Linked DNA regions of Oryctolagus cuniculus. The protein of the gene in region 2 interacts with the protein of the main gene of each other region in a biochemical or structural test. Links are inferred from orthologs where the notes say so. Each region holds a gene or a part of one and is shown on either strand. Other genes may lie near its edges.

Evidence for each region.
Region 1: the proteins of MAPT (region 2) and TUBB3 form a complex in vitro, tested with the Homo sapiens proteins (3 studies listed by BioGRID, with this or other methods). The link is inferred for Oryctolagus cuniculus from reciprocal best matches to the Homo sapiens genes MAPT and TUBB3.
Region 3: of the proteins of MAPT (region 2) and SRPK2, one has a biochemical effect on the other in vitro, tested with the Homo sapiens proteins (2 studies listed by BioGRID, with this or other methods). The link is inferred for Oryctolagus cuniculus from reciprocal best matches to the Homo sapiens genes MAPT and SRPK2.
Region 4: of the proteins of MAPT (region 2) and CDK1, one has a biochemical effect on the other in vitro, tested with the Homo sapiens proteins (2 studies listed by BioGRID). The link is inferred for Oryctolagus cuniculus from reciprocal best matches to the Homo sapiens genes MAPT and CDK1.
Region 5: of the proteins of MAPT (region 2) and MAPK11, one has a biochemical effect on the other in vitro, tested with the Homo sapiens proteins (2 studies listed by BioGRID). The link is inferred for Oryctolagus cuniculus from reciprocal best matches to the Homo sapiens genes MAPT and MAPK11.
Region 6: of the proteins of MAPT (region 2) and AKT1, one has a biochemical effect on the other in vitro, tested with the Homo sapiens proteins (3 studies listed by BioGRID and IntAct). The link is inferred for Oryctolagus cuniculus from reciprocal best matches to the Homo sapiens genes MAPT and AKT1.
Region 7: the proteins of MAPT (region 2) and APOE form a complex in vitro, tested with the Homo sapiens proteins (2 studies listed by BioGRID, with this or other methods). The link is inferred for Oryctolagus cuniculus from reciprocal best matches to the Homo sapiens genes MAPT and APOE.

What each region holds. Positions count from the first base shown.
Region 1 is NC_091449.1:69,472,043-69,475,143, forward strand, and holds part of TUBB3 (tubulin beta-3 chain), read left to right. Parts: intron 1-2,176; coding exon 2,177-2,285; intron 2,286-2,693; coding exon 2,694-2,804; intron 2,805-3,101. UniProt on the Homo sapiens protein: Tubulin is the major constituent of microtubules, protein filaments consisting of alpha- and beta-tubulin heterodimers. Microtubules grow by the addition of GTP-tubulin dimers to the microtubule end, where a stabilizing cap forms.
Region 2 is NC_091448.1:17,309,712-17,314,485, reverse strand, and holds the start of MAPT (microtubule-associated protein tau), read left to right. Parts: upstream 1-1,610; 5' UTR 1,611-1,785; intron 1,786-4,774. UniProt on the Homo sapiens protein: Promotes microtubule assembly and stability, and might be involved in the establishment and maintenance of neuronal polarity.
Region 3 is NC_091434.1:139,290,157-139,294,247, reverse strand, and holds part of SRPK2 (SRSF protein kinase 2), read right to left. Parts: intron 3,585-4,091; coding exon 3,497-3,584; intron 3,284-3,496; coding exon 3,196-3,283; intron 1-3,195. UniProt on the Homo sapiens protein: Serine/arginine-rich protein-specific kinase which specifically phosphorylates its substrates at serine residues located in regions rich in arginine/serine dipeptides, known as RS domains and is involved in the phosphorylation of SR splicing factors and the regulation of splicing.
Region 4 is NC_091446.1:53,166,581-53,170,671, reverse strand, and holds part of CDK1 (cyclin-dependent kinase 1), read right to left. Parts: intron 3,135-4,091; coding exon 2,978-3,134; intron 1,294-2,977; coding exon 1,170-1,293; intron 1-1,169. UniProt on the Homo sapiens protein: Plays a key role in the control of the eukaryotic cell cycle by modulating the centrosome cycle as well as mitotic onset; promotes G2-M transition via association with multiple interphase cyclins.
Region 5 is NC_091442.1:123,217,305-123,221,927, reverse strand, and holds the start of MAPK11 (mitogen-activated protein kinase 11), read left to right. Parts: upstream 1-1,438; 5' UTR 1,439-1,505; coding exon 1,506-1,621; intron 1,622-3,160; coding exon 3,161-3,290; intron 3,291-3,568; coding exon 3,569-3,627; intron 3,628-3,711; coding exon 3,712-3,823; intron 3,824-4,349; coding exon 4,350-4,379; intron 4,380-4,461; coding exon 4,462-4,509; intron 4,510-4,584; coding exon 4,585-4,623. UniProt on the Homo sapiens protein: Serine/threonine kinase which acts as an essential component of the MAP kinase signal transduction pathway.
Region 6 is NC_091451.1:46,976,147-46,980,237, reverse strand, and holds part of AKT1 (RAC-alpha serine/threonine-protein kinase), read left to right. Parts: intron 1-2,474; coding exon 2,475-2,603; intron 2,604-4,091. UniProt on the Homo sapiens protein: AKT1 is one of 3 closely related serine/threonine-protein kinases (AKT1, AKT2 and AKT3) called the AKT kinase, and which regulate many processes including metabolism, proliferation, cell survival, growth and angiogenesis.
Region 7 is NC_091449.1:11,763,898-11,768,033, forward strand, and holds APOE (apolipoprotein E), read right to left. Parts: upstream 2,801-4,136; 5' UTR 2,758-2,800; intron 2,028-2,757; 5' UTR 1,990-2,027; coding exon 1,947-1,989; intron 1,659-1,946; coding exon 1,484-1,658; intron 1,187-1,483; coding exon 466-1,186; 3' UTR 377-465; downstream 1-376. UniProt on the Homo sapiens protein: APOE is an apolipoprotein, a protein associating with lipid particles, that mainly functions in lipoprotein-mediated lipid transport between organs via the plasma and interstitial fluids.

The DNA.
Region 1 (3,101 bases), on a different chromosome or scaffold from region 2:
CAGCGCCACCCGCTGAGCAAGGAGACTTGGCCTTGACCTTGTGGATTTCTTTCCTATTTGATTTGCCAAGTTACGTGTTGTTCTTGGACGGGTTACTTATGGTTTACTGATTTTATTTTAAGTTACAATTTTTAAAAATTTCAACCACAAAAGCAACTATTAATGTATTCTGGAAAAAAAAAATGGAGCAAGCGCGGAAACCTGGAGTTTAAAATTCCTCTCTCTGAGCAGGAACACGGTTTGGTTTTGTTTTTTATTCTTCCAGCCCATTTTGCTTAATCTGTCTGTACATGTGCCTTTAAACTTTAAATAGTACCTAGGGCCTTTTATTTAAATATTTATTTATTTTAAAGTCAGAGTTACAGAGAGGGAGAGAGAGAGAGATCTTCCATCCTCTGGTTCACTCCCCAGATGGCCACAATCACCAGGGCTGGTCACGGCCAAACCCAGGATGCAGGATCTCCCACGTGGGTGCAGGGACCCAAGCACTTGGGCCATCTTCTGCTGCTTGCCAGGCCACAGCAGGGAGCTGGGTCGGAAGTGGAGCAGCTGGGACCCGAATTGGCACCCCTATGGGTTGCTGGCACTGCAGGTGGCAGCTCCACGCCACAACGCCACCTCCACCTAAGGCCTTCTAAGGAAATGAAGACAACGTTTGCTGATTGCTTTTTTCCTGGCCTTTATGCTGCTTATGTTCATGTGAGCACCATTATCATGTCTTCCTGAGAAGACTAAGGTCCAAGGAAGAGGGGGCTCTTGCCCACAGTGTGGCTGGCGCAGGGCTGCAGCCCTCGGCCTCCTAGGAGTCCCACGCTTCACGCTCCGCCAGGAACTGTCCCTCATGCACTGGCAGCACAGTGGCTGAGCCCATCCCCTCCCCAGGGACTGGTAACTGTGGGTGTTCCTGATGCCAGGATTTTGAAGTGCCCAGGGCTGTGCGGCGCCAGGCCCCTGGCTCAGACAAGCTGCCAAGAGCTGCTCGGAGGGCTCTCGGGCGGGTTCAGGGGGCCAAGCAGCAGGGGCAGGCCTGAAAGGCCTCTGTGACATTCCCAGGTGAAAATTCTCACACTTCATGCAAGAAGAAGAGAGCTCAGCAGTAATAACAACGCACAGAGGGGGAGGCCTCTCTGCAGTGTCTTTGTGTGGTAATCGCATGATCACATCGCCCGGTCTCTTCAGATCCATTACTCCCTGATCCCTTTGGAGAGCTCCTGGGTGCATACGACAAAGTTCCACCCGGTGAGAAGCAGCCTCTCTGTCCCAAGGACAGCTTTCTGTGACTGTCAGAGACGGCCAGACAGGGCAGCGCGCTCGGTTCCTGCAGTGGCCTTTTCACCAGGACGTGACTGAGGCCGTTGGCTGCGCTGAGGCCTGCGTGCCCAGTGACTTATCTGACAGTCACTCTGGCCTGGGGAGTAGGGGAGTGACATGGACAACCCCAGAAGCCGCAGTGTGTGGGCCAGAGATGGCCTGTCAGAGGGGGCAGCCACCTTGCTATTCAAGCAAAGAGGCGTCCCTGGAGTGTGGCAGGCCTGCCCTTCACATACCTGGGCTCACACTTCCACACAGCGCCAGCCCCGTGCTACGTGCTCATGTGAGCTTGCGTACAGCCAAGGACATGGGGCGCAGAGAACCCCTGTGACCTGCCCAAGGTTGTGCAGCTGGCAAGGGGTGGGGCTGGACTGTGAACCCAGGCGGCCCAAGGCGGGGAAAGGTGAGCAGCAGAAGGCAGTGAGAGTCCGAGGCTCTGAGTTGCCAGGTTCCACAGGGGCAGTCTGGGGGCCACTCACTGGGACAGCCTCACAGGTCCCCTTGGCCCCTTGGCTGAGGTCATCAATGGAGTGCCGGTTTCACTGCCCCGTCACTGGACAGGGGCCACATACAGGGTGTGGCTCTGCAACCTGCTATCGCCGTGTCTCCCGCGGTTCCCTGATCTGAAAAGGAGAAACAAAAAAGTTTCTCCATGTGGTGTTTACTGCTAGCCCCTTCCACAGACCAACGGACTGACCAGGGCTCTTGCCAGCAAGTAGGTCTGGATCCAGAGAGTCTCGGTGGGCTCGTGGAGGTTTCAGGCCCGAGCCCCTGGTTCTGTACTGAGGTCTCTGAGGCTTCAGAGGGCCCTGCCGGGGGTCACGGGCCGCCAGTTGACTCTTCCTCCCCACCTCCTTTCCTGCAGTTCTGGGAAGTCATCAGTGACGAGCACGGCATAGACCCCAGCGGCAACTATGTGGGGGACTCAGATCTGCAGCTGGAGCGCATCAGCGTCTACTACAACGAGGCCTCCTGTGAGCACCCCCCACCCCAGCCTGGGCTCCAGCATCTCTGCCCTCCTATCCATTAGCCTAGGTGTCCACAGAGTGCGCCAAGCTGTTTGATGGCCCTGAGAGCAGGCAGGAAGCTTGGGTGGCTGGCTGCATCCTGAGAGGGCACGGGGGGCGTCACCCGAGGGCTTGCTGCACCAGGGCTGTTGCTGTGACAGACTGGGGAGCGCTCAGCTGCCCACAGGGACATGTTGTTCCACCCCCCATCCCTGTGTTACACTCGTGAGGCCGAGGGTAAAGGTAGATACTCAGCCTCACCAGTGCCTCCAAGCTCACCCTTGGGTCCCGTCTCTTGAGGTCAGGGAAGGATGGAGAACGGGGGCACCCCTGACCCACTGTAACCTGTGTGACTGAGCCCCTCTCTCCTTGCAGCTCACAAGTATGTGCCTCGGGCCATCCTGGTGGATCTGGAGCCCGGGACCATGGACAGCGTCCGCTCGGGGGCCTTTGGTCACCTCTTCAGGCCCGACAACTTCATTTTCGGTAAGTCCCCCTGCTCCCAGCTTTGTTGGCAGATCCAGGCCAATGCCTTCACACCCTTCAACATGATCTTGCAGGGTGAGAACTGATCTCTCCATTTTACACTGGGCATTCCATGCAGGAAGCAGGAACTGCTCACACATTTCAAGCAGAATGAGGTGAGAAAAGAAAGGAGCTCACAGAATTGTGGGAGAGCTGGCAGAACAGTCGGGGCCTCCAGGGGACTTGGGGTTTGCAAGCAAGCAGCAAGCGGCCACGGCATTCTCCTTCCTGTGCCTCATAGGTAAAGAGGGCGAGGGC
Region 2 (4,774 bases):
CGTCCAGAGCCAACAGAGGCGTCTTGAACAAGGATCTGGGCGGTTGGAAGAACAAGTCAAGGCCAGAAACTCAGACCCTGTGGCTTCAGAAATTCGTTCCGGGGCCTGCGCTGTGGTGCAGCAGGTTAACGCCCTGACCTGAGGCACCGGCATCCCATTTGGGCGCCGGTTCTAGTCCCAGCTGCTCCTCTTCCAATCCAGCTCTCTGCTATGGCCTGGGATAGCAGTGGAGGATGGCTCCTGCGCCCACCTGAGAGGCCCGGAGGAAGCTCCTGGCTCCTGGCTTCAGATCAGTGCAGCTCCAGCCATTGCAGCCATCTGGGGAGTGAACCAGTGGATGGAAGACCTCTCTCTGTCTCTACCTCTCTCTGTAACTCTGCCTATCAAATAATAAATAGAATAAATCTGTTTAAGAAAGAAAGAGAGAGAGAGAGAGAGAGAGAGAGAAATTCGCTCCAAGAAACTGCGGGATGCCGCGGGCCACAGGAGTGCCTGGGCTCTGCTCCACCTTCCAGCTTCCTGCCGGGCACACGCTCCTTGGGCAGCTCACCTACCTGGGTCCCTGCCACCCAGACGGACGTCCAAGCTCCTGGGCCAGCCCTGGCTGTTGCAGGAATTTGGGTACAGAACCAGATGGAAGTCAGTATCTTTGTCTCTCTGCCTCTCAAAAATGAAAATCAATGATATTTTTTTTTTCAGTTAGCCCCAGCTCCATCATCTACCCGCTGCTCCCAATAATAATTAAACCCGTGTGAAGACAGGATTTTCACTGTTTGCTTTTTATATTAATCCAAAAGCATACATCGGTCTAAAAAAGGAGCCATGCAAGGAAAGGCTGAGTTCAAGCCCCCGTCCGCGAGGGTGAGACGGCCGCCCCTGCCCCTTTCTGTCTCCCACGTCGGGGCTTCCTCGGATGCTGGGGATGTGTGGACTCCCAGGGCAGCCGCAGGTCAGCTTCAGGCTGCCGAGAGCCATCCCGGCCGACGGTGCCCTGCAGGCACTGGCAGACCCGCGTCGGAAGCTGCACCTGCAGCCGCGGCTGCGCTGCGATCCGAGCAGCCGTTCGTTTAAAAACGAACCCGTAACAGTAGCACCACGACACGGATCGATGAAGCAAAGAAGTGACCTTGTTCAATGACAAAAAAGGGTGACAAGCAGCAAGGAGACAGGCAGCGGGGCCGGTGACCTCCAGCCGGGAGCGCCTTTCGGGGGGACCCGGGGGAGAGGCGCGGAGGTCGCAGGTGCACGGAAACCCGCCGCGGGCTCCCGACATAGGACACCGCCCCGGGCAGATGGAAACCAAAAGGGCAGCATGGCAGCGCGCGTTCAGCTAGGGGCCGGAGGGAGGAGACCCCCCAACAAGACAAAGGCTGCAGCCGCGGGAGGCCTAAAGTGCGCGTGCGCTACGGAGCGCGCGTGCGCGCGGCTGGCCGCGCCGCGGCCCAAGACGTGGGGGAGGGGACTCGGGAGAGGAGTGAGCCGGGGGCCGTGGGCGGGCCGCTCGCGCGCGCCCCCTGGCGGCCGGAGGAGAAGGCGCCCGCGGAGGCCTCGCGGCCCGCCCCGCCCCTGGGGTGGCTCGTGCCCCCGCGGCTCGCGCCTGCGCCTCCGGTCGGGCTCGGGGACGCGCCCCCTCGCCCGCGCGCGCGCGCTCGCAGCCACCGCCACCCACCGGCTCCGGCACCAGCAGCAGCGCCGCCGCCGCCGCTGCACACCGTCTGCACACCGCCAGCGCCGCCGCCTTCCCTCGGCTGCCCGCTGCAGTCCTCGCCGTCTGCCGACTACCAGGTAAGCGCCGGGACTCGGACACCCGCCTCCCGTGCGCTCCGCAAGCCGCCGCAGCCGGAGTTTAATGCCCACCTGCGGCGGGGGCTGGGGCCGGGCGGCGTGGACCGGGGCGCGTGTGTGTGCGTGCGCTTGTGTGGCTGGGGTCCCGGGCGGAGGCTGTGCCCGCAGGGTGGGGCGCGGATGGTGGCCTGGGGGAGGGGGCTGCGCTCTGTCCTCCATCGCAGCCTTTTGCCGCAATGGGCGTGTGTGTGTGTAGGGGGGAGTCCAATGACGACCCCCGAAACCGAACCTCAAATTCGACTTCTCTGCCGCTGTCTGCTGAGAACAAGACCCGGATCGGGTTCTCGAAAAGACGATGGCTCGCACACCTCCGTGCCCGCACCTCCCCGGCGGCGCCCTCCTCGCCGCCCCCTCCTCCGTCCGTTCCTCCTTCAGAAAGCCACAGGGGACATTTGGGGGCTGGGAGGAACCCGAGAGATGGGGAGGGGGCCAGGCGCTGTCATTCCAGCCGCCCTTCCCCCTGCGCGCGCCTGGCACGGGGACTTGGGCAGCGCCGCGCCCGAGGAGAGATGGTGCGTGGGTCCCCGCGGGGACGCCCTCCGAGGCAGGCGGCCCCGGGCCGTGCGACGTGGACGGACTGCGGGGCCGCGGCTCCCGGCTCGCGGGCGCGCACGGCCGCAGCCCTGCACAGCCGGGCGCGGGGGCTGCAGGTGCCTTTCGGGGCGGGTCCCTTTCTCTCGCTCTGCGCCGGGCGCTCCCTGCCGGAGGCGCGGGGCTGGCGCGCAGGGCTCGCCCCTCACTGCGGCAGTGGGTGTGGACCCGGGTGGGCGGCGGAGGGGGGAGCAGGCTGTGCCTCCTCCCACTCCCACCCCTCCCCCGTTTTTTCCCTGCCGAACGCGAGGTGCCATCTTTTTGCGGCTGTCACGTCTTTCTGTTCCCAAGCCGAGCCGGGTGGTCGGGCTCCGCGGAACGGGGCACGGACTGGCCTTGGGTGGGGGGACACCATCAGCCCCGAAATCGCGGCGTTTGGATGCTGCGGGAGTGAGCGCGGGGGTCGAGCACGCGGAATTTTCTTCGACAGCTCGCTGCTTTGTTCCTAGAGCTTACGTGATCCGTGCTCGCGGCCCCGTCTGGGGGTTTCTTCCATTCCACGAGGGCGTTCAGCCAAGACTCCTAGCCCCCTCGTTTCCCACCCTTTGTCGGCTCTTGGTGCTTGCCGGGGGTCCATGAGCCCTGGTCACGAGCCTCCGGGGCGCTGGTGGAACAGCCGCCACCCTTCCCGGAGGTCAGCCCCACGCGGGGGAAGCGCCCTCCCTGCCCAGGGGGGTGGGATTCGGGGTCTGGGCGCGCCGTGCACCTCCCGAGGCTGCCAGCGTCCTGGGGGACACGCCCGCGCGGCTGTCCGGCGATGGGGGCGCGCTCGCCGCCGGCGTCTCTCCCGGCTTTACGCCCTGTTGCTACGCCAGGCTGGAGAATGTCAAGAGGGGGCGTGAGGTTCCCTCGGGCGCCACCGCCACACCCATTTTTTTCCAGACCCACCGAGCTAGCTGAGTGGGGAGTTGCCATGGGAACCGCACGCGTCCGGTGACGGACCCTGGCGGCGTCGCCCCGCCCCCTCCCCGCGGAAATTGGGGACCCAGGGCGGGCCTCGAGATGCGCGCGCTGGGGAGTCCCCCGTCCCTGACCTGTGGCTCTTTCTAATTAGTCCCCGGCGGCCGCAGCCACCCAGACAGGCGTCCCGGATGTATTTTATTATCTTGGCTGGGCTAATTAATATTGCTAAGTGCGAGATTTTCACTTAAGAGTCGGAGTTCGTCGCCGCATTTGGCAGTGAGACGGGGGTATGCGGCCACCTCCCGGGTGATGGCTTTCCGCTTTATTCCAGCGCTGGAAACTGGTGTGGGCGTGGGGCTCCGAGAGCGATGAGCGTGGTCGGGCCAGCTCGTCCGCGCAGGCCTCTCGGGTTCCGCTCCTTGGAACAGCCTGGCTGGGGTGGAGCGCCCGCAGGAGCCGCCCCGGACTGAGTCAAGCATCCTTTTCCCCCAGCCCTTCGCCCCTCGGCAGCGCTGGGGCGGCCCGGGAAAGGGGGAGCCCTTTGCAGCCCCTGGGGAGGAGAGGGAGCCCGGCAGGCACAACACCTTTAGCCCGGTGCCATGGTCCGAGATTTCGCTCCGTTTTGGGGGGCTTAATGGTGTCACCCCAGGACCTTGAGGGAATGCGCAGCGCCCAGCCCCCGCGGTGGTGCCTAGGGACACTCACCCCCGCCCCCTAACGGCTCCAGCAGCGGGGGGCTCTTTTCCCTCCCGGGAGACCCCGCTTACCCCCTGGTACTCAGGAACCTGTAGCTCCAAGTCCTGGCCCAGTGCTGGCTCCCCCTTGGGACAGCGACACTGGCCGGCCCCTCCCCCACCCTGCCCCCTCCACGCCCATACTACGGTGGAAGAGAAATGTCTCTCCCGCTTGGCTGATTCTGAGCTGTGTTTTATGAATTTCCGGCCCCTCATCTCTAACCCTCCCTCTGAGTACAGAAAGAAATGTGTGGCTGGCTGGAGGGGGAGAGGAGGGAAAGCCCCCCCCCCCAGGTCCACAGCCACTCATGACGCTAATCCACCCCCTGGCGTTTGCCTCCGTAACAGGTGTGTTTGGGGCAGTAGCCTGGCTTGGCTTGGGGTTCACCTTGGATGATTTGGGAGGGTTTGTTGGCTTTGCTGGGTGTTGGTGAGTGACAGTCGGTGGCTTGTGTGTCCCTGCTGGCCCAGGCCTTCTCTGCACACGCCCACCACGGAAGGGTGTGGCTTTTAAGTGGTTTCTAGTATCAGGCTCTGCTCCCCAGATAGGAACAAAAGGGATGAATGCCCCTAGGACGCTGGGAGGAAACTTGGAGTGTGTTTGATTGAGCAGAGGTCGGGTTCATCCCAGCTGGGAAGAACCCCTGCTGCTGACCCCCGTGGCCTTGGAGTTCAGGGCCACCTGGAGAGGTGACAGGCCT
Region 3 (4,091 bases), on a different chromosome or scaffold from region 2:
CCCAAGTCCTTGGTCTCCTGCACCCATGTGGGAGACCTGGAAGAAGCTCCTGGCTCCTGGCTTCAGATCGGCACAGTTCCAGCCTTTGTGGCCATCTGGGGAGTGAACTAGTGGATGGAAGACCTCTTTCTATCTCTCTCTCTCTGCCTCTCTGTAACTCTGACTTTCAAATAAATAAATAAACCTTAACAAAAAAACTGAAGGTGTTTATGATCAAGATGAAACAATTCTACTTGGGAAAGAGAAGTGTTTATGTATACAAAAGAAACAACACGGTGACTCCTGGCAGTAAACCTTACAAAACCAGAGGAATCTGGAGAAAGGTAACCTGTGCTCAAGGAAACAGTGGCGTGATTCATGACAAATTCCAAAGCAACCTTCCTGTGAAGGCCATTGGACACAGAATCCCTATTTATTTGAAATGCAGGAGCAATAGAAAAAGAGACACAGAGGCAGAGACAGAGATTCTATCTTTCATCCACTGGTTCACTCCCCAAATGGTTGCAACACCCAGGGCTAGGCCAAGCTACAACTAGGAGCCATGAACTCTCTTGGTCCCCACTGTGTGGGTGGCAGGAGCACAAGTACTTTGGCCACCTCTCTCTGTTTCAAATAAAAATGAAAACAAATGATAGTAATTCAGTGAGAAAGGAATACTAAATCAAATGATTATGGCCAGAGCTTGATAATTATTATTTTTGGGTGATAGATTTGCAAAAATTCATTTTAATATCTCCTTTTATATGTTTTAAATTTTTCATAATAAAGGTTTTAAAGATAATCTTCCATTAACCCCTGCTTTATGCCAGATTTACCAACTAGTAGAGAAAATAATTTATTTTTACCAGGTTTTTGCAAAGCAGAGAAACTGGGTATAAAATTTTAAAACTAGGAGCCGGTACTGTGGCACAGCAGGTTAACGCCCTGGCCTGAAGCACTGGGATCTCATATGGGCGCTGATTCAATACCTGGCTGCTCCACTTCCCATCTATCTCTCTGCTATGGCCTGGGAAAGCAGTAAGAAGATGGCCCAAGTCCTTGGGCTCCTGCACCCATGTGGGAGATTTGGGCGAAGTCCTGCTCCTGGCTTCAGAATGGTGTAGCTCCGGCCATTGCAGCTATCTGGGGAGTGAACCATCGGATGGAAGACCTCTCCTTCTCTCTCTGCCTCTCCTTTCTCTGTGTAACTCTTTCAAATAAATAAATAAATCTTAAAAAAATTTTAAAACTAAAATACTTGCATCCTCACAGGGCAGAAAGATGATCCTCTGCAGAAGCAATTATTTGAAAGATTCAGTTGCATCATTCTAGAGAAAGAACCGAGTACAGCAGCTCCCCTGCACACCACCACAGCTTCACTGTCTACAGCACCACTGCCTGCAGTGAACCACGGTCCGAATATACTGCATGGCCTATTCCAGAAATCAACAGCTTTAAGCTGACCATGGTTCCAAGGAGCATGATGGCACCTCGCACTGTCCTGCAGGGAGATGGGACTCCTACCTTTTTGAGAACACCCACACAACAGATGCTGCCTGCCCCCTAATCTCTCAGCAGCCTTGATCGCGCTTCAGCATCACAGTACTTGTGTTATTTTATACAATAATCATCCCAAAGCTCTACAGTCATGATGCTGGCAATGTGGATTTACCCAAAAGAAGCCTTGAAAAAAGAAAAGTTCTCCACTAATGGAAAAAATCCCATGTTGAGATTGTTCAAAATCTAAGGTAAGAATGCAATTTCTATCCATAAATCTGTGAATGAAAAATAACATTCAGGCCAGTCTTGTCGTTAACACCTCAACCAGCAAAATTATTGGAAAAACGGATGCTAAGTGCTTAATTAAAAAATAGAAGGCATTAAGTTAGCGAATGTACAGGAAAACACTAATCAGTAAATAAGAATGGAGCACATGGTTTCAGGCAGTCACTGGGGTCCAGGACAGTATATCCTGCAGACAAGAGAGGACCACTGTATTATTAGTGCTAGTGTTCACTTTTTATTTATTTTTTTTTATTTTATTTTTTTTTGACAGGCAGAGTGGACAGTGAGAGAGAGAGACAGAGAGAAAAGTCTTCCTTTGCCATTGGTTCACCCTCCAATGGCTGCCGCGGCCAGCGCACTGCAGCTGGCGCACCGCGCTGATCCGAAGGCAGGAGCCAGGTACTTCTCCTGGTCTCCCATGGGGTGCAGGGCCCAAGCACTTGGGTCATCCTCCACTGCACTCCCTGGCCACAGCAGAGAGCTGGCCTGGAAGAGGGGCAACCGGGACAGAATCCGGCGCCCAGACCGGGACTAGAATCTGGTGTGCCAGTGCCGCAAGGCGGAGGATTAGCCTAGCGAGCCGCGGCGCCGACCTAGTGTTCACTTTTTTAAGACTTTTTTTTTTTTTTTTTTTTTTTTTTTGAGAGGTTGAGTTACAGAAGGAGAAAGGGAGACACAAAAAACTGTCCTCCACCCTCTAGTTCACTCCCCAAATGGCCATAATGGCTGCAACTGAGCCGAGACGAAGCCAGGGTACCAGGAGCTTCATCTGGGCCTCACATGAGAGTGCAGGGCCCAAGCACTTGGGTCATCCTCCCCTGCTTTCCCAGGCCATAAACAGAGAGCTGGAGCAGAAGACGTGCAGCTGGCACATGCACAGGTGCTCATGTGGAATGCCGGTACTGCAGGCAGAGGCTCAGCCTTCTATGACACAGTGCCAGCCCTTAGTTTTCACCGTACACATACAGCACTCAAGTGCAACCTGGAGATGTCAACACAAACAGAGCATTTTTCCATTTATTGCCTCAACAAATGTTCCAACCCTACAAGGTGCTTCTTGGTCCCTGGAGCATGTACAGAGCTAGCCCTTGGGCACTGACTTTAAAGCACAAAGAAGTGTTGTTTTTATGCTTCTATCTCTGCAAACAAAGTTCACCACAATGAATGGAAAAAAGATCAATAATTCATTCAAAAACCACATCAAGTTGCTGTAACAGTTTTCTTTTCAAGTTTCTAACATGCCACTATACAAAAAAACACCAAAAAGTCCTTCCAAACCACCTAGGGGCACCACTTTCTAACACTTCCCAAAATCCCAAGGGCTTTGTGCTGACAGGGATGTAAGAGCAAACATGAGTATTTAGGGGCCTGAACAATCCTGTTTTTTAAAGGAAAAAAATTATAAGTCATCAACAATTAAGAAAAGGATACGTATTCCATTCATGCCTGAAATCTTGAAGTCATCGATGAGCTGGACCACCATGTCTTTGTTTGGGTCACTGGGATCACTTTCTCGAACCTGTGCAGACACAATCAAATCCAAGAACAGAGGAGTTCAAGACAGAGAATATTTTGCATTGCAGTAATAAAGGTGATTTTGTTTTAAGTTCAGTATTTGAACTTAGGAAAAAGAAATTCTACTTTAATTTAGTACCAGCCAGAAATTAACTTTTTAAAGATTTTTTTCAGTCATTAATTTCTGTTACAACATTCACATTTTTGCAGTACTTACACATTTGAGCAATTTTATTTCATCCAAGGCTGTTTCTGTATAATGCTGGGCACTTTTTACAACTTTCATAGCAACAAATCTTTTCCCCCTTGGAAAAAGAAAAAATGTATTTACCTATATTATCAAGAGAAGAAGTGACATTACACTGAGATGTTGCAAAGATAAATTAACAAGCTTTCTTTAAAACAGTACTTTTCAAATTGAGTGGGCACTAGAGACAATGAGGTCCATGGGTCAACACAATTCTTTCATGCTTTGCTGTCCTCTCTAATTAATGAAGACTATAAAAATACTAGTGTTACCACACACACTTAGAGTAATGGAAAATATTCTGACACTTCTACTTCTCTTCAAATACACAGAAAACTAGCTGGCGCTGCGGCTCACTAGGCTAATCCTCCACTTTGCAGCACCGGCACACCAGGTTCTAGTCCTGGTCAGGGCGCCGGATTCTGTCCCGGTTGCCCCTCTTCCAGGCCAGCTCTCTGCTGTGGCCAGGGAGTGAGTGCAGTGGAGGATGGCCCAAGTGCTTGGGCCCTGCACCCCATGGGAGACCAGGAGAAGCACCTGGCTCCTGCCATCAGATCAGCGTGGT
Region 4 (4,091 bases), on a different chromosome or scaffold from region 2:
GGGCCATCCTCCACCTTACTCCCTGGCCACAGCAGAGAGCTGGCCTGGAAGAGGGGCAACTGGGACAGAATCCAGCGCCCCGACCGGGACTAGAACCTGGTGTGCCGGCGCCGCAAGGCGGAGAATTAGCCTAGTGAGCTGCGGTGCCAGCTCTGAAATATTTTCAAAGAACAAAATAGAGGGGATAGTGCTGTGGTGTAATTGGTAAAGCTGCCACCTGCAGTGCCAGCATCGCATATGGGCACCGGTTTGAGTCCCAGCTGCTCCATTTCCAATCCAGCTCTCTGCTATGGCCTGAGGAAGCAGTAGAAGATGTCCCAAGACCTTGGACCCCTGCATCCACATGGGAAATCTGGAAGAAGCTCCTGGCTCCTGACTTTGGATCGGCTCAGCTCCAGCCACTGCAGCCAGTTGGGGAGTAAACCAACAGATGAAGACCTCTCTCTCTCTCTCTGCCTCTCCTTCTCTCTGTGTAACTCTGCCTTTCAAATAAATCTTTAAAAAAAATAGATCAGCTTTCCATCCTCATCCTATCCTGAACTTTTTACTTTGCTAAACACATATTTGATCAATACCAGAAAGACTATGGCGCTATGCTTTTGATATTAGTTTGAATAGTACTTGTCCCCTAAATCCTCATGTCTGTTCCTAAAGCCTCATGTAAATGGCACTAAAAGGACAAACATTTAATCCAATTATGGTGGCTGAAGATGGAGCTTTTTGGGAAAAATTGGGATTGTTAGTATGGAAACCCCATGGTCAAATCATGGTGGCTTTATGGGCTCCCCTCTTTCTAGGTGATGCCCTGTGCTACCCTGGAACTGCCAGCAAGAACACCAGAATCGTATACTGAACATAAGTCCCAAATAAAATCTCCTTCCTTTAGAAATAGCTTATCTAAGTATATTATTTTAGAACCCAAAAGCTGACTACACTTAATTTCCAAAACCGCATACTTTACAGTTATGTTATCTCAGGCACCACTTGGTAACAAAATGGCTGTCAACATATAAAGCATAAAAATTGTGGAAGGAAAACAATTTTTTTTTCATTATTCTACTTACTAACACTTCCTCTAAGCAAATTCCCGCAAAACGCGAGGACCTCTACAGAGTAGTCTCTTCACATTCACAGAGACTAAGTATTCAAAGTTATGGGAAGACTCTTACCTTAACAAGCGAAGAATCCATGAACTGACCAGGAGGGATTGAATCCAAGTACTTCTTGAGATCCATGGAAAGGAATTCAAAGATGAGATATAACCTGGAATCTTGCATAAGCACATCTTGAAGACTGAAGAAGAAAACAATTACATGAACAAAAGTCCAGCAAGCATTTTTATCACAAAATAAAACTACTGCAAGCCTCAGTGAATATCATACAAAATGTGGGGAGATTGGTAGCTTCCCAAGTAGAGAAAACCTTAATACAAAAATAGAATTTGAGAAGGAAATCTCAGGACAATAATTTAAAATTAAACCTTCAGGCAAGCATTTGGCCTAGCAGTGACCACCAGGTTAGGATCCACACCAGAATAACCACTTTCAACCCCTTGCTCTAGTTTCTTATTCTAGTTTCCTACAAGGCAGACCTCAGGGAGGCAGTAGTGGCGGCTCAATTAGTTGGTTTCCTGCCACCCACATGGGAGACCTGAATTGTGTTCCTAACTCCTGATTTAGTTCTTGCAGGCATTTGTAGAGTTTACCAGCAGATGGGAGACTTCTCCACCTTTTTTCTCTGTCTCCCAAATTTTTTTTAAAATATTTGTTTTTATATTTATGTGAAAGGCAGAGTTACAGAGATCTTCCATTCACTGGTTCACTTCCCAGATGGCCCCAACAGCCAGGGCTGGGCCAGGCCAAAGCAGGAGCCACAAGTTTTATCCAGGTATCACAGGTGGGTGCAGATGCCCAAGGACTTGGGCCATCTTCCACTGCTTTCCCAGGCACATTAGCAGAGCTGGATTGGAAGTGGAGCAACTGGGACTTGAACCGGCTATCATATGGGATGCTGGCATTACAGGTGGTAGCACACTGTACAATGCTAGCCCCTAAAATTTTTTAAAAAATTATAATAAAATTCTTATTTTACAGGAGGTGTTAACTTAAATAATCTGTATTCAAAAAACATATCTAGGTTGGTTGCTCGCTGTCTTGCCACTGAAGTAATACAGAGGAATTTTAGAGTATTATCTGACCTTAAGGGCTGTTCCCTATCTCCAGCTTAGCAAAATGCAATTAAATTAGATTTTAACTTAGATCACTAGCAACATAGCTTCCCTAAAGCATCCAATTCAAATACTTAAAGGAAAGCATTTTCTGCTTTTCATCCAACTTGGCTGCCTGCCTTAGGGCTGATGAAGGCACCTCCAGAAACTAGAGCTCCCAGGCTGGGAGTTAAAGCTTTCTGAAAAGGGCTTCTTTTCTTCCATTGCTATTTTACCTTGCTTTTCAGGACCTAGTACTAATTCTTATTACCATGCCTCTCTAATAATTCTTTCACTCTATTGTTTGCTTTAAAGATTTATTTATTTCTTTGAAAGGCTGAGTTACAGATAGAGACAGAAATCTTCCATCTACTGGTTCCCAAATGGCCCCAACAGCCAGTGCGGGGCCGGGCTGAAGTCAGGAGCTTCACCCAGGTCTCCCATGTGGGTGGCAGGTGCCCAATCGCTTGGACCATCTTCTGCTACCTTCCCAGGTGAATTAGCAGGGAGATGGATTGGAAGTGCAGCAGCTGGAACTCAAACCAGCACCCATATGGGATACTGGCATCATAAATGGCTTTATCTACTATCCCATAATGCCAGCCCCTCTTTTGCTGCTTTAATAGTATTTTGCCTATGCACAGCATTATCAATTAACAAAAATGTCTCTTTTCTACTTTAGATAAAAATTAAGCAAATGCAAAAATTCTCACATTGAAATTCATTCAAAATTGTGTGTAGAAAAATGGTTTAAACTCAGATATACCATACCTGACTATATTTGGATGACGAAGTTCTTTTAATAGAGAAATTTCCCGAATTGCAGTACTAGGAACCCCTTCCTCTTCACTTTCTAGTCTGATTTTCTTCATAGCTACCACTTGGCCTGTAGTTTTGTGTCTACCCTTATATACAACTCCATAGGTACCTGAAATAGACAAAGTAAATTTCTACTATGTGACACACCCCCACAACCTAGAAGGTTCTTTAAATGATTAAATCCCATAAGGTGTCATACAATAGAAATGTCTGCTATCAACAGATAGGAATTATCAACTATTCACTCATTGCTTCCAAAAAGAAACTGAGGATAACACAACATATCATGTATATGGTTTAGAAATAAAATTCATAGTCATAAGTTTCCCACACATATAAACTACCATTTAATGTTCCTGCATTTACAAGTAGAACTTGCACAAATTATAATGTATCTCATCAAACATCATACCCAACAATGAATCAGGTCCCAAACAGTATAAAGACTTGGACTCCGAAAATATTACTGACAAGAATCGCCTTGACATTTTCAGAGTAGCTGATATAGACAGCGTTGTGCTTTTCATGCTATTTTATATGCATCAAAAATACAATCAACAAGCCTCATCCAGAAAACAATGAAGATTCAAAATAAGACATTTAGTTATATATGTATTAATAAAGCTCACATTATCTACTACATAGTAGGAAAATTTCACACCCATTTGGAAGTGGATGAAAACATAGATAAGCTTTAGATAATGTAATAATGTCAATATAAGAAATAGAGTATATTGGGAGATGGATACATAAGAATAATAAATAGATTGGCTAGTTCGTTAAACCAAATTCACACATATGTTACACTTAGTAACCCAGCTAAGTGCTTTTTAAATTGAGGTATCAGTTTTTTAAAGGAGGTCCTGAAATCCTTAATTACATAAAAAATTTTATTTAACAGATTTTGCTTTCCATGACATCAGTATACTTTAGGAGAGAGTAGACTACATTTCCCTAGGGAGGTCTATTCTATGGGTTTTGTCAGTTTTCCCAGAAGGTAGTGATAAAAATGACTAAGAACCACTAACAAAGTATCAACTATTTAGTTAAGATCTTTAGGCTGCAA
Region 5 (4,623 bases), on a different chromosome or scaffold from region 2:
GGTGGGGGTAGGTAACCCCGAGGACCTGGGGCGGGGCCACAAGATGAAGACGTAGTTTGGGCCTGCAGCCAATGGGACGGAGGGGCCCTGCCCCCACGGAGCTTCCTGTGAACCCCAAGCAGGCTGAGCCCAGGAAGAAGCAGAGCGGCCTGGACACTCGCTGTCCCTGTGTGCGTTGTCTGAATGGTCTCCGGCCTGGTCTCGCCGCTGGGGCCTCCCCTTACGGCTGGGGAGCCCAGGAGCCGGGGTCAGGGGACTGTGAACCCCTCCTGGAAGGGGGTGACTCGGGCCCCTCCCCAACACTGGCTGTAGGGAAACAGGAACCTGGAGGCCTGGCTTCCAGGGGTCTGCTGCTGCTGTCCCCCGGGGCAGTCAGGAAAGAAGGGGCTCATCTGTGAGGACACCCCTACACACGCAAGGGACACTCAGGGGGAGGGGAAGGCTGTAGGTCCTGCCATCCACGCCCAGGTGGTCTCCACCCTCACCCCTCCCCTTAGGGATGGGAGTGACAGGACCCAGGAGCCTGGCTGGTGCCAGCGAGGGGTGAATGTTGGCTTGTCCAGGTGGCCAGAATGCCCTTCAGCCCCAGCGGTGACCAGCCCTTCCGGTCACTGTCCAATTTCCAGTGAGCAGGGGGAGGGAGAGGTGAGGATGGGAAGGAGCCACGAGCAATGCTGCTGACCTGTCCATGTCCAGAGAATGGAGCCAAGACTGCATCCTGCTTGTTCCAGACCCTCACCAGCGATTCGTGTGGCGGTGGGGAAGCATCCACTGAGTCCCCCTCCCCGCCCGGGTCTCCGAACCCCTTAGGGGCCCCAGCAGGACAGGCCCTGGACCCCGGCCAGGGTCCCAAGACCCATGAAGTCTGCATGAAGCTGCGGGTCCAGGGAGCTCGCTCCGCGTTTCACGCTGGTCCCAAGCACCCCAGCTTCACCGGCGCGCGCCGCTGGGTTCGTCTTGAAAAAGAGGGGGCGACTGGAGCCCAAGTTCCTCCCATCCCGGGAGGGGGCGTCCCGCCCAAAGCCCCCGACCCAGCGTCTGTCCGTGCCTGCGGCGACTGCCCGCGAGGCCGGGGCTTAACGGGAGGACGCCGGCCACGGGACCGCCGCGCAGGGCGGTAGGGGCGGCTCCCAGGGTCTGGGGAAGTTCGGGTGGGCTTCCCGAAGAGGCAAAAAGTACGAGGGACCCGAGGGGACTCATCTGGGGCCGCTTCTTCCCGAGCCCTGGCCCCAGAGGCCCCCCGGGTCGCCGCTGTCCCTGGTGCTGACCGGCCGCGCCCGCGGGAGACCCCAGCAGGTGGTCCGGCGCCACAAAGGCCCGGCCCTCAACCCCCTTCCGTCCCGAGAGGAAGCGCTTCCCGAGCTCCGGGCCCGGATCCCGCCGCCGCCCCGGTTTCCGCTCGGCTCCGGGCGCCCCCGCCCCAGCCAGGAGCCCCGCGCGCGCCCCGCCCAGCGCCCCGCCCCGCGCCCCGCCGCCCTCAGCTGCGCGCGGCTCCGGCTCCGGACATGTCGGGGCCCCGCGCCGGCTTCTACCGGCAGGAGCTGAACAAGACGGTGTGGGAGGTGCCGCAGAGGCTGCAGGGGCTGCGCCCGGTGGGCTCCGGCGCCTACGGCTCGGTCTGGTAGGGGCGGGGCGCGGGGCGCGCTCGGGGCTGCGGGCGTGGGGAGGGGCCTCGGCCTGCCCCCGCCCCCGGGCCCTGCGCGGGCCGCGGCGATGCGTCGGGGTGAGGGCGTGCGAGAAGCGTGCCCGCCGCACGCCGCCCCCAGCGGGGCGGGGGTCGTCTTCCTGCCGCGCCCAGTCCCGGGATGGCGCGGCCGGCGGAGGCCGGGCGCCCCGGGGCCCTCGGCGTCTGCGCTCCCCTCGCAGTTCCTGGGTTAGGGGTCGCGCGGCTCAGGGTCCGGCGGATACCCCGCCCCCGCCCCGCGCCATTGTTTGAAAACGGAGGCTCGCAGCGTGGCCTCGGAGCCCCTTGCGGGTCCTGCCCACTCCTCGTTTTCCCAGGAGTCTCGGACTCCATCCTGAGCGGGGGACCTGACGCCCGATCCCCAGAGCGCAGGTTCCAGAGCCTGAACCCAAACAGACCACGGCGGCTTGTGGGGGGCGGGGGTGCCGATTGGGCCGCGGCCTTCGCTCCAGGACAGGAAAGCCGGACAGGGCGGTGACAGACCAGCGTTGTGTAGACAGGCTGCTCACAGGTGTGGACGCTGCCAGGTGCCCCCATGGCACCCGACGAGGTCGTCACTGGCCGCTGCTGGGTCCCAGTGGGGCCGGAGAGGCTGGGGACTGGTGGGCGGGCGTGGCTGCCCGCACCTGGGCGGATCTTTGCCTGTCCCCGCAGCCTGAGGCGGTCACCTCGGCCACTCCAGCACCGGGGCACCGTCTTCCGGCGTGTGTGAGTGACCAGAGGATATTGTGGCAGGAACCCAGGTGGACTCATGGCTGGGTCTGCACATCTGGGAGTTCCGGGGGTGTCAAGTCCCCACAGGGGGACCTGGGCTTTTCTGGGCTGCACCCCAACCCTCCATGTTTGCTGAGTTCCACTGCCAAGGAGGTGACTGCGCGGGTGCCCATTCCCTGTTGCTCAGCTAACCACACAGATGCAGTTGGGCCAAAGGATCTGCCACCTCCTCTCCAGCAGTGACTTGGATTTGCCCCTGTGGGTCACAACCTGGTGATGGGGGCACTGGGGGCCTGGTGAATTTTTCTCTGCCACTGGCACCCATGAGCGTCCCACACCGGGGGCAGTCAAGTCTGGGCTCACTGCGGGGCGGGTTCTGAGGGGAAGGGAAGGGGTGCGTGGGCGGGCGCATTGGCCAGAGAGCCGGCTGTGCAAAGGGCTCCAGACCTGCTCCCAGCTGAGCCCTGATCGTGACCGAGACTGCTGCACCTGCCGCCAGGCGAGGGGCTGCTGCCGAGGGGAGGGGCGTGGGGCTGGGCAAGGCCGGCCTCGCTGGGCATTCCCAGTGTCCACTTCCGGTTGCCAGTGATGCAGCACACACTTCTGGACCTGCCCAGTCCCGGGGTAGGGGGCACCCTCTGCCCTGGGAGTACCCAGGCCTCTCCCCGAGCCGGGGCCCAGCCTCAGGGGCTCCTCTGGATCTCGGGCGAGGAGGGGTTGGGCGCGGAGCTGGGGAGGCTGCCTCACTCGCCCGCCTTCCAGCTCAGCCTACGACGCCCGGCTGCGGCAGAAGGTGGCGGTGAAGAAGCTCTCGCGGCCCTTCCAGTCGCTGATCCACGCCCGCAGGACGTACCGGGAGCTGCGGCTGCTCAAGCACCTCAAGCATGAGAACGTGAGCGGGTGCTGGCCGGCGGGAGGGAGGGCCGGCGGGAGGGAGGGTGGGGGGAAGGACCGGTGGGAGGGAGGGTGGGGGGGAGGGCGGGGGGGGTGGGGAGGGCCGGCGGGGGGGGGAGGGCGGGGGGGGTGGGGAAGCCCGGTGGGGGGGAGGGCCGGCGGGAGGAGGGCCCCGGGCCCTGGGCCAATGGGAGGGAGGGCTGGCAGGAGGAGGGCTCTGGCCTGGGGCCGAGCCCTGCCCACCGCATGCTGCCCAGCTGCTTTCCTGCCTCCCAGGTCATCGGGCTTCTGGACGTCTTCACGCCAGCCACGTCCATCGAGGACTTCAGTGAAGTGTGAGTGCCTGGCGGCTAGAGGAGCACCTTCGGCCCACGGCAGTGGGGCTCCGGCCTGACCCCTGACCCCCTACCTTGCCCCAGGTACTTGGTGACCACCCTGATGGGCGCAGACCTGAACAACATCGTCAAGTGCCAGGCGCTGAGTGACGAACACGTCCAGTTCCTGGTATACCAGCTGCTGCGTGGGCTGAAGGTGGGGGTCTCTGGGCGTGGGCTAGAGGTGGGGTCTTAGGGCCTGGGCTGGAGGTGGGGTCTTAGGGCCTGGGCTGGAGGTGGTGGTCTTAGGGCCTGGGCTGCAGGCGGGGTCTTAGGGCCTGGGCTGGAGGTGGGGTCTTAGGGCCTGGACTGGAGGTGGGGGTCTTAGGGCCTGGGCTGGAGGTGGTGGTCTTAGGGCCTGGGCTGCAGGCGGGGTCTTAGGGCCTGGGCTGGAGGTGGGGTCTTAGGGCCTGGACTGGAGGTGGGGGTCTTAGGGCCTGGGCTGCAGGCGGGGTCTTAGGGCCTGGGCTGGAGGTGGGGGTCTTAGGGCCTGGGCTGCAGGCAGGGTCTTAGGGCCTGGACTGGAGGTGGGGGTCTTAGGGCCTGGGCTGTAGGCGGGGTCTTAGGGCCTGGACTGGAGGTGGGGGTCTTAGGGCCTGGGCTGCAGGCGGGGTCTTAGGGCCTGGGCTGGAGGTGGGGGTCCCTGGGCACATGGCCAATGCTCACCACCTCCCTCCCCGCAGTACATCCACTCTGCAGGGATCATCCACCGGGTAGGTGCAGCGTGGGCGACGGGCGGCGGGTGGGCTCAGGCGGGCGCTATCCCTGCGCTCAGGCCTCTGCCCGCCCACGCAGGACCTGAAACCCAGCAACGTGGCGGTGAATGAAGACTGCGAGCTCAGGGTGAGCGACTGGCGGGACTGGGCCGGGTGGGCTGTGGGGCGAGGAGGGGCCCTGAGCACCTCTCGGTCCCCCCAGATCCTAGACTTCGGACTGGCCCGCCAGGCTGACGAGGAG
Region 6 (4,091 bases), on a different chromosome or scaffold from region 2:
GCAGGCCCTCTGCTCAATGTGCCGGAGAAGGTGAAGGCGCGGCAGCTGTCGGCAGGATGGATGTGCTGGCGGCGGGGGACCGCAGGCCTGCTGGGGCTCACTTCGCTGTGGAGAGACAGCCCGGTGCTGCCTGGCACCCTGCCAGCCTGCACCCGCCGCCGCGCAAAGTGCCAGCCCAGCAGTTTGCTGGGGACCGGGAGCGTCCAGAGGATGTGCGTGGAGGTGGGGACGCGGCTCCAGCCCGTCAGAGCCGGGCAGCGTGGACCCCGAGACTGCCCCCGGCCACGTCGGTACTGGCTGTGAGCTCGCACAGGCTGGGCCTTGCGCAGGCCCATCCTGTCCCCAAGCATTGTGTGGTGTCCCCGAGGCCAGAGCTGACCCAGGCCGGGTCGCAGGAAGCTAGCTAACCCTGTCACCCTGCTAAGGGCAGCCATCCCCTTCTCCCTGTCCCGGGCATGGTGGCCTGGAGCCTGGACAGGACCTGGGGCTCCGTGCAGCACCTCAGGGGCCACCACTGTGCTCCCAGCCCAGGGCTGGGTTCCAGGCTGTCCTGCAGGTGGGCCGGCCAGCAGTGGGGCGGGAGCGGGTCCCACCCGGGCATCTGCACCTCCTGATGGCAGCGCCTGGCTGGACCTGCCTAGAGGGCAGCTGAGCCTGCTGGAGAGGCCCTGGGTGGAGCCTGGCACCGCCACAGGTCTGAAGGGGGGGGGGGGCGCTGAGGAGACCCTGCGCTGGGCGCCAGTCGCTCCCTGCCAGAGGCCCAGGCCCCTCTGGACCTCGGGGTGGGCAGGTGCCAGTCTGCAGGTGTGCAGTGGCCTCTGCCCCCACCCTGGCGGGGCCGGGGGTCTCAGGTCCCACGTTGCTTTGGCTGAACTTAAGACGAGGGCTGTAGCCCAGGCACGGCGAGCACTGTGGGTCCCCATGGGCCTGCCTGGCCGGACGCAGAGGCAGAGGTGTCCCTCGGCCTGCTCCTGGCCCCCGTGGAGGGGTCTGTGTGCTGAGGGCAGCCCCCTCACCGACACTGGGGGTGGGGGCCCTGTGTGTGCCGTGTGGCGCAGGACCGAGATGGATTTCTGGGGCGCGCGCGGGTGCTCATCAGTCTCCCCGCTCGCTCAGCGTCCTGGGGAGCGGCAGCTGGTGGGATGGCAGGCACTCCATCAGGGGCCGACAGCTCCAGACTGGCGTGCAGGCGGGTGGGCACGGCGCCGGGCGGCCCGGGACGGGGGGGCTGTGCAGCCCCCAGAGCCCGCTCCGCTCGCCCCCTGGAGCCCCTGCCTGCCCCCACCTGCCCAGAGGGGGTGCCTGTGGTGGGCTGGAGCCTCTTCCCTGAGGGTCGCCCTTTGCTCCTGCCAGAGGCCCCGGTGGCCCCAGCCTGGCGGGGCGGGGTGGGGGCTGCCTCCAGGCTCTCCCAGGGGGGTCCTGGGTGGGGAGGGCGGCTGGCCCCAGGACCCTGCATACAACCCCTCCCAGCTGTGGGGGGCACCCTCATGAGGGGGCAGAACCTTGTCCTTCCCCCAAAGCAGCCCCCGCCGCACCTGAGCGACCGCCCCCTGCATTGTGGGGTGGGGCCTGTTAGCTGGCCTGCCCCCCTGGGCATCGGGGTGTGGCCTTACTCCACTGCTCTGGTCCTGCTGGTGGGCTGGCTGGAATCAGGCCCACCCCAGTCCAGGCACAGTAAGCACCCAGGGGTGCTTGGGGGGGCCTCTTAGAGCCCTGGGCTGTGAGGGGGGTGGCTGGGGTGCAGGTCCCAGCCCAGCCCGGGGCTTCCGGGTCCCATCTGCAAGTGTGTCCAGGACCAGGGTGCAGAGTGGCAGCTGCCGGGCACCTGGGGAGGGAGGGCCACTGCCCTGAGTGCCTTGCCCAGGGGACGCCTGCCGACCCGTGTCCTCTGAGCTCCTCTGGGGGTGGCCTGTCCCTGTGTCGTCCCCAGCTCTCAGCCCACAGTGAAGCAGCTGCCTAATTAGCAACTTCCCTGTCGTTCAGACTCTGTGCTCGGCAAAATGTAAATGAGGCGTTTTCTCGGGTGTCAGTGTGAAAAATGGCGCAGCGCGGCTCCACGGAGCATCTGCCGTGTCCCCGAGCGCCGCGGTACTGGGGGAGTCGGCCCCCGCGCCTGGACCAGGGGCTGTCCCAGGGTGGGCGGCAGCTCTGCCCTCGGCCCCAGGACTGTGCTGCTGGCCCTTCCTTGCCAGTGCCAGGCTCTGTCCTCTTGGCTGGAGGCCGGCTCAGGCCAGCAGCCACACCCTGGAGCCTGGGTGCCCGGCCAGTGCCTGAGCTGGGCACCAGCTGACCTACTGCCTCCCCCTCCAGGAAGGCCAGGTAGGTGGGCCCAGGCCTCCTCCCCGTGTCCCAGGTGTGCAGGTGGGCCTGGCCCCTTTCCGGCGCAGCGAGCCTGCCTTCCCGTCCCCCACCCTCTGCCTGGCGTAGCTGGCCAGCGACCTGGACAGGGGCCCTCACCGCCTGTGTCCTCACAGGGGAGTACATCAAGACCTGGCGGCCACGCTACTTCCTCCTCAAGACTGATGGCACCTTCATCGGCTACAAGGAGCGGCCACAGGACGTGGAGCAGCGCGAGTCCCCACTCAACAACTTCTCTGTGGCACGTAAGTGTCCCCTCGGCCACTCCGGGTTGGACGTGGGGCGGTGCCTGGAGTGGTCCGTGCCCTGTGGGACTGGGGGCCAGCCCTGGCTGGCGGGGGCCTGGGCCAAGCTGCATGGCTGTCCTGTGGAGCTGTTCCCTGAGCCTCCTGCCCAGAGGGGACAGCTCGGGCTATAGGGAGCCTCCAGGCTCTCCCAGGGGGGTCCTGGGTGGGGAGGGCTGCTGGCCCTAGGACCCTGCATACAACCCCTCCCAGCTGTGGGGGGCACCCTCAAAGCTGGCCAGTGCCACTTTTTCCCCTGCCTGGCTCCCCAGTTGTCCCTCCCACGATGCTGGCTGGGGCCGGGCAGGTCCACTGCCACTTTCTACCACCTGGCAGCCCAGCTCTGCCCTGGGGCTGGCCTGGGGCAGCTGGGGGCGATGGGCCTGCCAGCCGTGGGCCTCTGGGTTCTGCCCCTCCCTCTCCTTGGCCAGCACCCTGGGGTCCTCTGGCCCCTGGCCTTCAAGGGCCACCCAGGTTCTGGTTTGGGGGCTGCAGGGAGGTCTGGCACAGGTGGCTCGACCTGGGCGTCGCCCTGCCTGTGGGCATCTGCGTGGGGATGGGCTGCGGCACTGGCTGCTGGGTCATCCCTCCCGGGGCCCACTCTGTGCTAGAGGAGGGGCCTGGCCGTGGGGATTCCCGTGAGCCCCAAATGCCACCCTCCCCGGCCTCAGGCCCAGCTTCCTGGGCCGGAGGCCACCAAGGAGGCGCAGGCCAGTTCCCTGGAAGCCTTGCTATGCCCGCTGTGGGGGTGAGGCAGGAGGGGCCTCTGCAGAGGAGCCCATGGGGGCAGCGCCAGCCGGGGGCAGGGGGCGCTGCCTGGCCAGGGCGAGAGCCAGCGTGTGTGTGCGGAGGGCCTGTGTCCAGGGGCTCTGCCTTGTGGGAGGACCGAGTGAGCTTCCTGCCCGCACAGACACAGGCCGCCTCCCACCAGGCTGGGCCCCGGGCCCCCACGCAGCCCCTCGCCCGGCAGACCTGGCCCTCGTGGTTGCCAGGGTGCTGGTGCTGGAATGCACACGCTCCCCGGCTGTGGGCGTGCGTGCTACAGGCACACGTGTGGCAGGCGTGCGTGTTCCAGGGGCGTGTACTGTAGGTGTGCGTGTTCCAGGCGCGTGTACTGTAGATGTGCATGTTCTAGGCGTGTGTACTGTAGGTGTGCGTGTTCCAGGGGCGTGTACTGTAGGTGTGCGTGTTCCAGGCGCGTGTACTGTAGGTGTGCATGTTCTAGGCGTGTGTACTGTAGGTGTGCGTGTTCCAGGCGTGTGTACTGGACTTCCGGTCAGGGTCTCCCAGCGACAACTCGGGGGCCGAGGAGATGGAGGTGTCCCTGGCGTGCATGTTCCAGGCGTGTGTACTATAGGTGTGTGTGTGTGTTCCAGGCGTGTGTACTATAGGTGTGTGTGTGTGTTCCAGGCGTGTGTACTGTAGGTGTGTGTGTGTGTTCCAGGCGTG
Region 7 (4,136 bases), on a different chromosome or scaffold from region 2:
AAATACACAAGGCTTGGGGTAGGGGGAGTCGGCGCTGTGGCTCAGTAGGTTAATCCTTCGCCTGCAGTGCTGGCATCCCATATGGGCACCGGTTTGAGTCCCGGCTGCTCTACTTCCGATCCAGCTCTCTGCTATGGCCTGAGAAAGCAGTGGAGGGTGGCCCTAGTGCTCAGGCCCCTGCGCCCATGTGGGAGACCCGGATGCAGGCTCCTGGCTCCCGCCTGGCTCAACTTTGGCAGTGGTGGGCATTTTGGGGAGTGACCCAGTGGATGGAAAGCTCTCTGTGTCTGTCACTCTTTCCAGTAGTGCATCTTAAAAAAAAAAAAAAAAAAGGAGGCTGAGCCCCATGGGAGGAATCACGCGGAGACCCAGCAGCTGCTGTGGAGGTGGTGAATTTTATTAAGGGGGGGCGTCCACCGGGGCGGGGAGGCGGGGCGCGCGGGGCGGGGGCGGCCCGCGAGGCGCTCACTGGTTCTCGATGGGCGCCGCCGCGGGCGCCTTGCTGGGCATGGCGGCCTGCAGCTTCTCCACCAGCCCGGCCCACTGGCGCTGCATGTCTTCCACCAGCGGCTCGAACCAGCTCTTGAGGCGGGCCTGGAAGGCCTCGGCCTGCAGGCGCATCTGCGCGGCCTGCTCCTCCACCTTCACCCGCACCTCCTCCACCTGCTCGCGCACCTCGTCCAGGCGGTCGCGCGCGCGGCTGCCCACCTCCTCCAGGTGCCCGCGCAGCCGCTCGCCCCAGGCCTGCGCGCGCTCCCGCAGCGGCTGGCCGGCCAGGGTGCTCACGGTGGCGGCCCGCAGGCGGCCCTGCTCCAACAGCGGCCCGAGGCGCTCGCGGATGGCGCTCACGCCGCGCTCGGCGCCTTCGCGGGCCCCGGCGCCGTACACCGCCATGCGCTTCTGCAGGTCCTCGGCGTCGCGCAGCAGCCGCTTGCGCAGCTTGCGCAGGTGCGAGGAGAAGCGCGCGCGCAGCTCCTCGGTGCTCTGGCCCAGCATGGCCTGCGCCTCGCCGCGGTACTGCGCCAGGCGGTTGCAGACGTCCTCCATGTCGGCCTCCAGGCGCGCCTGCGCAGCCTGCAGCTCCTTGGACACGCGCGCCCGCGTCTCCTGCGCCATGGGGCTCAGCTGCTCCTCCAGCTCCGACTTGTAGGCCTTCACCTCCTTCATGGTTTCTTCCATCAGCATCCTGCGGGGCCCAGGGGGCGGGAGGGCGGGCGTGAGCTGGGGAGCCAGGGCTGGGTGCACGCTGGCAGCGACCAAGGGGCCCCAAGGACCAAGCGAGGCCCAGAGGAGCCGGCGAGGAGGAGGGGGCTTGGGAAGGTGCGAGACAGCCGGAGAGGTCAAACCGGAGTCAGGAGTGGGAAGAGGACGCAGGAGCAGGGCCCCCGACCCCAAGGACGCAAAGGCATCTAGACTGGCCGAGGGTGCAGAGGCGCCCCCCGCCGCCCCCCAGGAGGCTCCTGGTCAGGGCGGGGACACTCACGTCAGTTCCTGGGTGACCTGCGAGCTGAGCAGCTCCTCCTGCACCTGATCAGACAGCGACTGTACCCAGCGCAGGTAATCCCAGAAGCGGCCCAGGGCCAGCTCCCAGGGCTGGCCGGCCTTCCACCTGGCCTGCTCCGGCACCTCCACCTCCTGCTCCGTCTCGGCCCGGCATCCTGTGCGGGAGCAAAGTGGTCAGGGGCCGTGCGGGGTTCGGGCCGCGGGGGCAGAAGCGGGTGGGGTCTCCGCTCAGTCGGCAAACACTGATGGGCCTTGTGTGCATTAGGAACTTCAACGCCCATTTTATGGGTGGGGAAAGCCGAGGCCCGGGGGAGAAACAGCGGCTCAGAACCGCAGCAGGCCTCAGAGGTCTCAGCTCGGCGCGCCTCCTCCCCAGGACAGGGGGCTGGAGTGCGGGCAGGGGCCGCGCAGCAGGGGAACCCGAGAAAGCCCCGCCCCCATACCTGCCAGGATCGCCGCCGCCAACACAGCCCACCACACCTTCATCTTCCCGCCTGCGGTTGGTCAGTCTTGGGAGGAAGAAACTGTCAATCAACAGCGGAGGAGGACGGTCCCCTCCCCCCCGCCCCGGAGCCCAGCTCCGGCTGCGCCCGGGCCCAGGATCCCCAAGCCTCGCCCTGGCCCCTGTCTGTGACAGCCTTAGTCCGATCACAATCATTTCACCAAGCCGCCCCTGGGGGGCTGCACAGCTCCCGCATTGTCTGCTCCAGTCTCCCCATCCTCCGGCCGGCTCCGGGGCCAGAATTCCATCTCCCTCTCCCAGGGGTCGAATTCCACTCCCCCAGCCCCCCCACCCCCGAGCTTTCTGGCTCCAGGCTGGGCTTCTTGAGTTCCATGTCGCATTCCTCGTCCCGCCGTCACATTCTAAGCTCCAACCTCACGTCTAAGCCCTACTTGCCATGTAGGAGCTGATTGAACCACGGTTTTTAACAAGTCGGTCTTGGGACGTAGTCCCTGTTTCCCGAGACCCCAGTTGCGGAGATGGGGTGCCGGGAAGGACAAATAAGTGGCAGCAACCGCCCCAGGGCTCGCTGTGGCTCCAGCTGCTGCCCCACCCCAGCCCCAGCCAGGATGGGATGTCCCTGCCTGAGGTCCAAGCCCTGCTTCCAGCCTCAGCCCTGCTCGGCCGTCCTTCTGTCCCGACGCAGGCACAGGCCACCACGTTCTCTCCCACAGCCCGTCCCCAAGTCGCTCCCTTGCCCTTGGACCCCCCCTTTCCCTGGAGGCCCCTCAGCCCCCCGCTGTGCTGCTCACCGCCTCCTGCGGAACCTCGCCTGCACCTCGGCTGGGGCAGAGCAGGGCGGCAGGGATCCCTGACGGGTCCAATTATAGGGCTCCCCCTGCCCCGCCCCTCCCCGGGGCCAGGGCGGGCTGGGCCAGCCCCCAGTCACGAGGTGGGCTGTTCTCCCCCCTCGCACACAGCAGGGCGAGGAAGGAGGTGGGGCTTGGAGGCCCCGTGACCCCCGCCCCCAGCCCCTAGGAAGGGAGGGGCGCCTCCCTCGGTGTCCCACGTCCTCTCCACTGGGGTGCAGGCGGGGACTGGGCCGGCTGCTGCTCCAGCACGCCTTCCCTGTGCCCGGCTGGAACTTCTGGGTTCTGGGAATGGATGGGGCTTAGGACCCCCACCCCCCAGGGCCTGAATGAAGTCGGAGTGGAGTCTGGACTCCCGGCTTAAGTTAGGGCACAGCAGGAGCCCAGGCAGGGCTGGGGGCAGCGTGATGAAGGCCAGCGTCCCACGGTCAGGGTTTCTGTTCCAATTCCCTCCCAGGCGGTGCAGGTGCGAGCCTCTGGGACCCCCCCCCTTGTTTACTGAGATCGCAGCACCTGGCTGGCAGAGGTGGTGGGCCCGCCCGCCAGGAGTCACCCACACGTCCTCTTCCTTGCAGTTTGCAGGACTGTTGGGGCTTGCATCCTGGCACTGCGCGCTGCCAGCTGTGTGACCTTGGACAAATGACCTCCCCTCTCTGAACGGCCAGTTCTTTGCCTGCACAACCAGGCAAGCAGCGGCATGCGCCCCGCAGGTTTGGTGATGCAGGAGTGAACGGCGCGTGCCGAGGCCAGCGCCCTGCACACGGTGGGCCCACACCTGGGCAGCCTAGCGCGCTCCAGCAGTCACCTTCCCATGGGCTCCTGCCCCCAGCTGTCCCAGGGACTCAAGGCCCAGGGCTGGGTTGGGGGCAAAGCCGCAGCAGGCACTGGCAGTCGGCCCTGTTTCTCAAGGCGCAGGGGAGGCGGCCTCCCCAGGTAACTCGGGGACATCACCCAGCAGCCTCCTCGCCAGGCCTCGGGGCGCGGGTTGGCCAAGTGCTGACAGCGCCTCCTGCGAGGCGAGCGGGGCCGCACCCCTGCACCGGGACTGTGTCGCTCCAGCCCCAGATGCAGCAGTCCCAGTAGCTCTGCTTGAGGCTCCAAAATTCCAGACCCGCCTCTTCTGGAAATCTGCGGAGGCCGGGGGCCCAGTTCCCTGCCCCGTCTGCACGCAGCCATCCGCTGCCTCAGTTTGCAAGGACAAAGTCCCCCAGGCTGCGGCTACCCTGCCCTCCCGGGATGTCCCCCTGCAGAGCGGACGTCGGGGAGGCTGGGGGAGCACCGCCAAGCCCCTCCCCGGAGGGCTCCTGCGGCCAGGACCGGGC